Oryctolagus cuniculus: one gene and its partner. The protein of the gene in region 2 interacts with the protein of the main gene of each other region in a biochemical or structural test. Links are inferred from orthologs where the notes say so. Each region holds a gene or a part of one and is shown on either strand. Other genes may lie near its edges.

Region 1 (4,023 bases), on a different chromosome or scaffold from region 2:
TCAGTAAGAAGCCAAACAACAAGTCAATCACAAGTGGCAGGGATTCTTGTGAAAACTTGCAGGACATTAAACGGACTGCTTTTCATGAAGATAAAAGGTCCCCAGTGCGTGCAACTCCTGCAGTTAGGAATTCAACACCAAGTAGGCATTTCCATTCAATGATGGTGACCTGTGGTGGACTCAAACTACACTACTAGAAGGCCCGAGTGTTAAAATTACTCAAGCTAAGGACTTTTCCACGTGGTTATACTTTGTTGCTCGTTTTGGTAGCATATATACAAAGCAGTTAGTCTTTGAGATTAAAAAATAACCTTAAAATACAACTTTACATTCTTAAACAAAAGAAAGTCCACATCACAAACACTTAAAATTGTCGATCTGTGAAGCCAAATTAGGCTAGGAGTTTATTTGCTCTGTCTACACAGTAAGGTATTAACCACATTCCCTATCTTTTAAACTAGCATTTTAATAACATCTTCCCCTTTTATACTCAATTTTTGGCGAAGTAAAATAGCTTTCATCCCAAATGTGTATACCAAAACATCAATGCTTCATTTCTTTCCTATTTATTACTTACCATCCCAAATCATGCATTTAGTATTGAGTAATGAAGCAAAATTACTTAAAAATATGAGCATTATAAAAACCACCAAACAACAAAAAAATAACCGACAACCTACGATTCTATGCACCTAAATATCTATGCGGACTGCTGACCCAGAGACATCTACGTAGCCAACCACACTGGGATGTCAGACTTGACCGCCCAGGAGGGCTGAGCAGCCGGCAAGTGCTCACGTCAGCGTCCCGGCGGCCACGGGCTCAGGACGGAGGTCCGTGGACCCTGGGGTCTTCGCCTCCGTAAAACGGGAGGTGAAAACAGGACCCACGGCTCCCCGCCCTGTCGCAGAACCGGGCGAGATAACCAGAATCCGTTATCGTATTGGCGCGGGCGCCTTTGTTCCACTTCAGAGGAACCAGCAGCGCGGAGCGGGGGTCGCGACTCGAGATCAAGAGCCAGCACCGGGCGAACCGCGCGCGCTCCCGGGCGGCACGAGCACCGGCGCGCGGCGGAGCGGCCCGGCCCTCGCCCAGCGCCCAGACCGGGGTCCTCAAGCCCAGACCGGGGTTCTCACGCCCGCGGCGGAGCGGCCAGACGGGGGTCCTCACGCCCGCGGCGGAGCGGCTCGGCCCTCGCCGAGCGCCCAGACGGGGGTCCTCACGCCCGCGGCGGAGCGGCCCGGCCCTCGCCCAGCGCCCAGACCGGGGTCCTCACGCCCGCGGTGGAGCGGCCCGGCCCTCGCCGAGCGCCCAGACCGGGGGTCCTCACGCCCAGACCGGGGTCCTCACGCCCAGACGGGGGTCCTCACGCCCGCGGCGGAGCGGCCCGGCCCTCGCCCAGTGCCCAGACCGGGGTCCTCACGCCCGCGGCGGAGCGGCCCGGCCCTCGCCCAGTGCCCAGACCGGGGTCCTCACGCCCGCGGCCTCCGCCCCGCACCCCGGCGCCGCGGCGGCTCCTCCCGCTCCCGGGGATCCCGGCCACTCCTCCCGGTTCCTGCGGGCACAGCGTGGCGGGCCCTGGCCCCGGCGACTCCTCCAGGCTCCCAGGGGTCCACCCCGCTCCCGGGGTCCGACAGCAAAGGGCTCGGCCCCCCGACTTCTCCCGACTCCCGAGGGCGACGGGTCCTGGCCCCCCAACTCCTCCCGGCTCCCCGCCCCCAGGGGCAGAGAACCGGGACTCCTCCCAGACGCCCGGGGCCGAAGGCGCTGGACCCCGAGTCCAGCTGCTGCCCGCTCTCGGGCGCTGTGGCCCGGCTCGGCGCTGCTGCCGCAGGACAAGCGCCCGGTGACCAGCACAGCGGCCGGCCGGGCCCTGAGCGAGGACCCCTGGGAGGCCTAGCTCTCCCCGGACGCGGGCGCTGACCCAGCGCTGCCGGAAACGGCCGGCCCCGCGCGGCAGCCACGCCGGCCTCCCAGGCAGAGGGGACGCCGGCCGGGAAGGGCCGCGAGGACGGGCCGGGCGCCGCCGGGCGCGCTGCGCCGCGCGCCGCAGGCCTCACCTTCCCCAGGCGGCGTCCGGGCCTGCGCCTTAGGCTGGGCCTGCTGCTCGGCGTCCCCGCGGCTCGGCGCGGCCTCTCCCGGCTCCGGGCGCGGCGGGCGGCGGCTCCTCCTCCTCCTCCTCCACCTCCTCCGGGCCACCGGGCGGGGTCTCGGCCGCCCCGCGCCGCCTCCCGGCCGGAAGCCCCTCCGCGGCCCCGCCCCGCGGGCCGGGCGCGCGCCCCTCGCTCCGGAAGCGCATTCCTGACGGCCGCGCCTCGGGAGGCGCCCGGACAAAGGGCTCGGCCGGGCGGGGCCGCGCGGGGCCGGGCGCGCGCGGGGCGGCCGGCCGGGGGCCGCGGTGCCTCAGCCCCGTCTCCCGCGCCTGCGGGTCCCGCGCGCCGGTGTCTCGGCCGCCGCTCTGATCCGGTGTAAGAGGAGCCCGCCCGGGGCGTTGGGGGTTGCACAGGGTCCCTGGGGCTCTCTGACCCACGAGCTCCGTGGTCCCGCGCACGGCGACCGCTGGGGACCGGCGTTAATGACCCCGTGACCCTGAAGGGGGCGGTGAACTCCCCGCGCGCGAGGGCCCCCGCGGGATTCACCTGCGCTCGGTTCGCGCCGCCAGGCCGCAGGGTTCCTTCCCTGGGGTGCAGCTCTGCCGGCACACAGAGCGGGTGCTGGAATTCTGGATAACGCTGGATAAGTTACGGTGCAGGGCTCCTGTGGGCCCAGGCTGGAGCGGCGTGGGAGGGCAGCGAGAAGGGGGAAGCGGAGTGTTCTGTAGAGAAGCGGCTCACACAAACACCAGGGGGAGGGCAGGGCCGCCCGTGCTGCTGAGGAGGCGTGCGAGCCACGTCGCAGGTCTTGAACTCAGCACCCGTGCGGGCTTCGCCACCCCAGCTCCCGGGCAGTGTTCTCGTCTGCCCGGTGGTAGACCCTCCTCCTGACCCTTACTGCAGTTCCCGACCCTGCTAGTACCTGCTCTCCAGAAGAGCCTTTGGTCACCTGCCGCTCTCAGTTGCTCGCCCACAAGGGTCTGTGTGATCTCGGTCTCTGCCATTAGAAGAAGGCTTACCTCAGTGAAAGGCACCATGCTGCCTTAGTCAGATGCACTTGCCTTTCCTCAAACACTTGGGTCCCACGGGTTGTCTTTTATCACGTGATTGTGGGAGACCTGCTGGGGTGAGAGCCCTCTGCCTTCTGATGGTTGAGAACTCCTGAGACTCGGGGCAGCACTGTGATGTAGCAGGTAAAGCCCCCACCTGCAGTGCCGGCATCCCATGTGGCCACTGCTCCACTTCCAATCCAGCTCTCTGCTATGGCCTGGGGAAGCAGTAGAAGATGGCCCAAGTCCTTAGGCCCCTGCACCCGCATGGGAGACCTGGAGGAAGCTCCTGGCTCCTGGCTTCGGATCTGCCCAGCTCCAGCTGTTGCAGCCATGTGGGGAGTGAACCAGCAGATGGAAGATATATGTATATGTGTGTGTGTGTGTGTGTGTGTCTTTCTCTCCCCCCCCTTCTGCCTCTCTGTAACTCTGCTATTCAAATAAATAAATAAATTGTTTAAAAAAAAAAAAAAAAGAACACCTGCGACTCAGAATGGATGCCTGCATCTGTGAGAGTGAAAGGGTGAGACGTTCAGACAGACGACACAAGACCAGATTTTCCTGGGGTTGGCCACAGACTGACACCATCCATACCAGATCATTTTTTACATTTTTTTTATCTGTTTCATTTACTGAAAGACATTGAGACAGAAACAGATAATGATCTTCCATCCTCAAATGCTGCAGCAGCCAGGGCTATAGCAGGCAGAAGCCAGGAGTCAGGAACTCTATCTGGGCCTCTCATGTGGGTGGCAGGGACCCAGCTACATGAGTTGTCACCTGCTGCCCCCCCAAAAAATAATGCTCATTAGTAGAAAGCTGGAATCAGAAACAGAGCTGAGACTAGAACCTAGGCACTTAGGGCATGTAGGCAGATCACA
Region 2 (3,557 bases):
AGGTAAGCCAACCACCAGGGACGCAGAGGAGAGCCATGGGCTCAAGACCCTCAGAGAGTGACGGGCTGTCTGTTGGGACCAGGGGAGCTGGCACAGGTGGCCTGGGCCTGGCTGTCGAAGGGCCCTCTGAGGCCAAGATGTCCTGCATGGACAACAAGGACGGCAGCTGCTCAGTGGAGTACATCCCCTATGAGGCCGGCACCTACAGCCTTAATGTCACCTATGGTGGCCACCAAGTGCCAGGTGAGAAGGCAGTGGTCAAGATGGCGGGGACTGCCCGATTTCCCCACGCTGTCTTACGCAGCTGCTGTCCCTTTGCCCAACCCCCAGGAAGTCCCTTCAAGGTCCCTGTGCATGACGTGACAGATGCATCCAAGGTGAAGTGCTCTGGGCCTGGCCTGAGCCCAGGCATGGTCCGTGCCAACCTTCCTCAGTCCTTCCAGGTGGACACAAGCAAGGCTGGGGTGGCGCCACTGCAGGTCAAAGTGCAGGGGCCCAAAGGTGAGTGCTCACCTACCCGGCAGCCAGGGACTCAGCAGGGGGAAGGAACATGGAGGCCCAGCATATGCAGAGTGGAGTCAGGTGTGTGGGCAGGTGGAGTGGGAGACCCTCGGGTTGACAGAGGAGAGCTGGTGGGGAGAGCAGGAGGAGGCAGGACAGATGGGGTAGGAGGGAGGGACAGCAAGGGTCCAAAGTGGCAACCAGAGTGGTGTCTCATGCCACAGGGGTTTGGGGCCGTCCTTGTGGATGGGCAGCGACAAGAGGAGGTCTAGGCCTGGTGCCCTGACCGGGTCAGTGTGGTGGGGGTGGGGGTAGGGGCCCAGGGGGCTGGCTGAGGTTGTGTCCCTTGGACTGGGGTCAGGCCTGGTGGAGCCAGTGGATGTGGTGGACAACGCCGATGGCACCCAGACTGTCAACTACGTGCCCAGCCGAGAAGGGCCCTACAGCATCTCAGTGCTGTATGGGGAAGAGGAGGTGCCCCGGAGGTGAGTCAGGGCCCACCACCCATGGGGAGGGGTCCAGGCTGGATGTCCAGAGCCTGTCTGACCTCTCGCAACACCCTGGCTCCACAGCCCCTTCAAGGTCAAGGTGCTGCCTACACATGATGCCAGCAAGGTGAAGGCCAGTGGCCCTGGACTCAACACCACTGGTGTACCCGCCAGCCTACCTGTGGAGTTCACCATTGATGCAAAGGATGCTGGGGAGGGCCTGCTGGCTGTCCAGATCACGGTGAGCTCACTGGCCTCACAAGCTGGACTGTAGCATGGTGCAGGCAGAGGAGAGGCCAGGCTGGGTCTCCCTAGGGAGTCATCCCAGGGAAGGCAGGGCCGGCCAGCTTCTGCTTTGCCACCATCATGACTACCTGAGGCTGATGCTGGCGGGCACAGGCCTCGTGGAGCACACACCCTCTGCTAACACTGAGGACCTTCCCAAGGCCTCTGGTGCTGCACTTCCCCTCCTGTGCCATTCTCACTGGGAAGATACGAGGAGATCTCCCAGCTGAGCTCCCCTGAGTGCTGGGGCAGACCCTGGTCTCAGGGTGGGAGCCCACAGGGGTCGTGGCAGGGGATTTGGGTAAGGGAGCATGGGCCCAGGGGCCCTGGCCCTGTCTGTCGGCACATGGAGCAGTGTTGAATACTTCTGCAGTTCCATCTAGACTGCCCATGGGGAAGTAAGGATGATGCTGGGTGCAAACAGCCTTTTGGGGCCATAGCTGCTGAGAGGCCTGGAGGCTGTCCCTGTAGCAGTGGTACTTGGCATCCATTCAGGAGGGTGGCTTACCTGGGCCCGGGCCAACACTTCCACGTGCTCTGCCGTGCAGGACCCTGAAGGCAAGCCCAAGAAGACACACATCCAAGACAACCACGATGGAACGTACACAGTGGCCTATGTGCCAGATGTGACGGGCCGCTACACCATCCTCATCAAGTATGGTGGTGATGAGATCCCCTTCTCCCCATACCGTGTCCGGGCCGTGCCCACCGGGGATGCCAGCAAGTGCACGGTCACAGGTGAGCCAGCCCGCCAGCGGCCGCTGTGGCGCTCGGCACGGGGCTTGGGTGTGCCTGTGTGCAAGGGCTCGCTGCTTGGGGCGGCGTGTGGGAGTGGGGGCCGCCCCCTTGAGTGACTCACCTGACCTTTCTCCTTGCTCTCTGCCCTCTCACCTCAGTGTCAATCGGAGGTCACGGGCTAGGTAAGCTGCTTGCTGGGGCCACTCCCAACGCCCCTCCTGCCCAGAGGGCAGCTTCCTTTCCTCTTCCGGTGCTGATTCCCAGGAGAGTTCCAGCTGCAGCTCCAAGCAGGGACAGAGTGGGTGGGGGGGCTGTGCAAGACAAGGCCATGGGCTGGAGGGTTAGGGCCCAGGGAGGCTTCCGGAGCTAAGCATGAACACTCCGGCCCTTCCCCTCTCTGGGCCTCCGTTTCCCCACTGGAGAACTCGGGTTGCAGCTGAGAGCTTTGGGGTGAGGTGCATCCTGAGAGGCACCCCACTTGGGGACTTTGGGGTCTGGGGATCTTGGCACTCTGGGCAAGTACCCAGGGATAGGCAGTGGGCCCTTCCTTCTCACAAGGGCTCCTGCTTGGATTAAGGGGACAAGGGGAGTCCCTAGCTCCGGCCAGATCCGCAGACTCCCATCCCTACCTCCCAGGGGCCTGAGTCCCGGGCCGGGGGAGGTGCATGAGCGGGTGGGGCTGGCTGGTAGTGCAGTAGCACCAGCGTCGACTGCTTGGGTGGCCAGCATGGCGGGGCCCAGCCCAGCCTAGAGCCCCAAAGTGCACTGTGTTGCCCGTCTCCCTCCTTCCCTTCCTCTCCTGTCCCCCTAGCAGTGACGTTATTCAGGCCATCCCCTGGCAGGCACAGAAGTTTGCCTGCCCCAGCCAGGGGCACCTCTAAGAGGGGAGAATGACTTGAGGGCCTCTAGAGGCTGTAGGCCGGCCACTCAGGCAGGGTGGCCAGGGAGCAGGTTAGAGGGAGGCTAGGGTTTTGGAGCGGGGCTAGACAGCCTTGTAGAGTAGACTTTGGGATCGGGGGAGACCTGGTGCATGTGCAGGACTCAGACTAGGGGGTAGGGGAGAGGTTTGCATTAGCCTTAGTTTACGTGGCCCATGTGTGCAGTGTGGAGGCAGGGAGCCCAGCTCAGGGGCTGAAGTCACTTTTGGGTAAGCTGGACGGGTGGCTTGGGCCAGGCCAGTGGCCATGGGATTTCAGGTGGGAGCCCAGCCAGGACAGGGTACTTGGAGAATAGAGTAGCTAAGACCTGCTGATGGGCTGGGAAAGGTGGGAATCGGGGGTAGTTGTGAGGCTGGAGCCCTAGCCATGAGCTGGGTGGTGTGGGGTGCAGGTGAGTGAGGCCTCCCAGGGCAGCAGATAGCCAGCTGTAGAGCCCAGGAGACCCACCTGGGCTGTGGTCAGTCAGCATAGTGCCTAAGCAGGGGGAAGAACCCTTGGCCAGTAGGGGGACTTGGTGGCAGACTGGCCAGGGGTGCCCCCTGAACTTGACCCTCAAGCAAGTTTGGTGCTCCTGGCTGCTTCCTTGGCAGGAGGCCAGGCTACAGGG

What was found. The genes of interacting proteins can lie anywhere in the genome.
Region 1: the proteins of FLNA (region 2) and ITGB1 form a complex in vitro, tested with the Homo sapiens proteins (3 studies listed by BioGRID and IntAct). The link is inferred for Oryctolagus cuniculus from reciprocal best matches to the Homo sapiens genes FLNA and ITGB1.

What each region holds. Positions count from the first base shown.
Region 1 is NC_091444.1:108,893,708-108,897,730, reverse strand, and holds the start of ITGB1 (integrin beta-1), read right to left. Parts: upstream 2,849-4,023; 5' UTR 2,640-2,848; intron 2,223-2,639; exon of another isoform or gene 2,061-2,222; intron 1-2,060.
Region 2 is NC_091453.1:132,584,991-132,588,547, reverse strand, and holds part of FLNA (filamin-A), read left to right. Parts: coding exon 1-2; intron 3-82; coding exon 83-243; intron 244-330; coding exon 331-501; intron 502-862; coding exon 863-986; intron 987-1,073; coding exon 1,074-1,230; intron 1,231-1,822; coding exon 1,823-2,012; intron 2,013-2,170; coding exon 2,171-2,194; intron 2,195-3,557. UniProt on the Homo sapiens protein: Promotes orthogonal branching of actin filaments and links actin filaments to membrane glycoproteins. Anchors various transmembrane proteins to the actin cytoskeleton and serves as a scaffold for a wide range of cytoplasmic signaling proteins.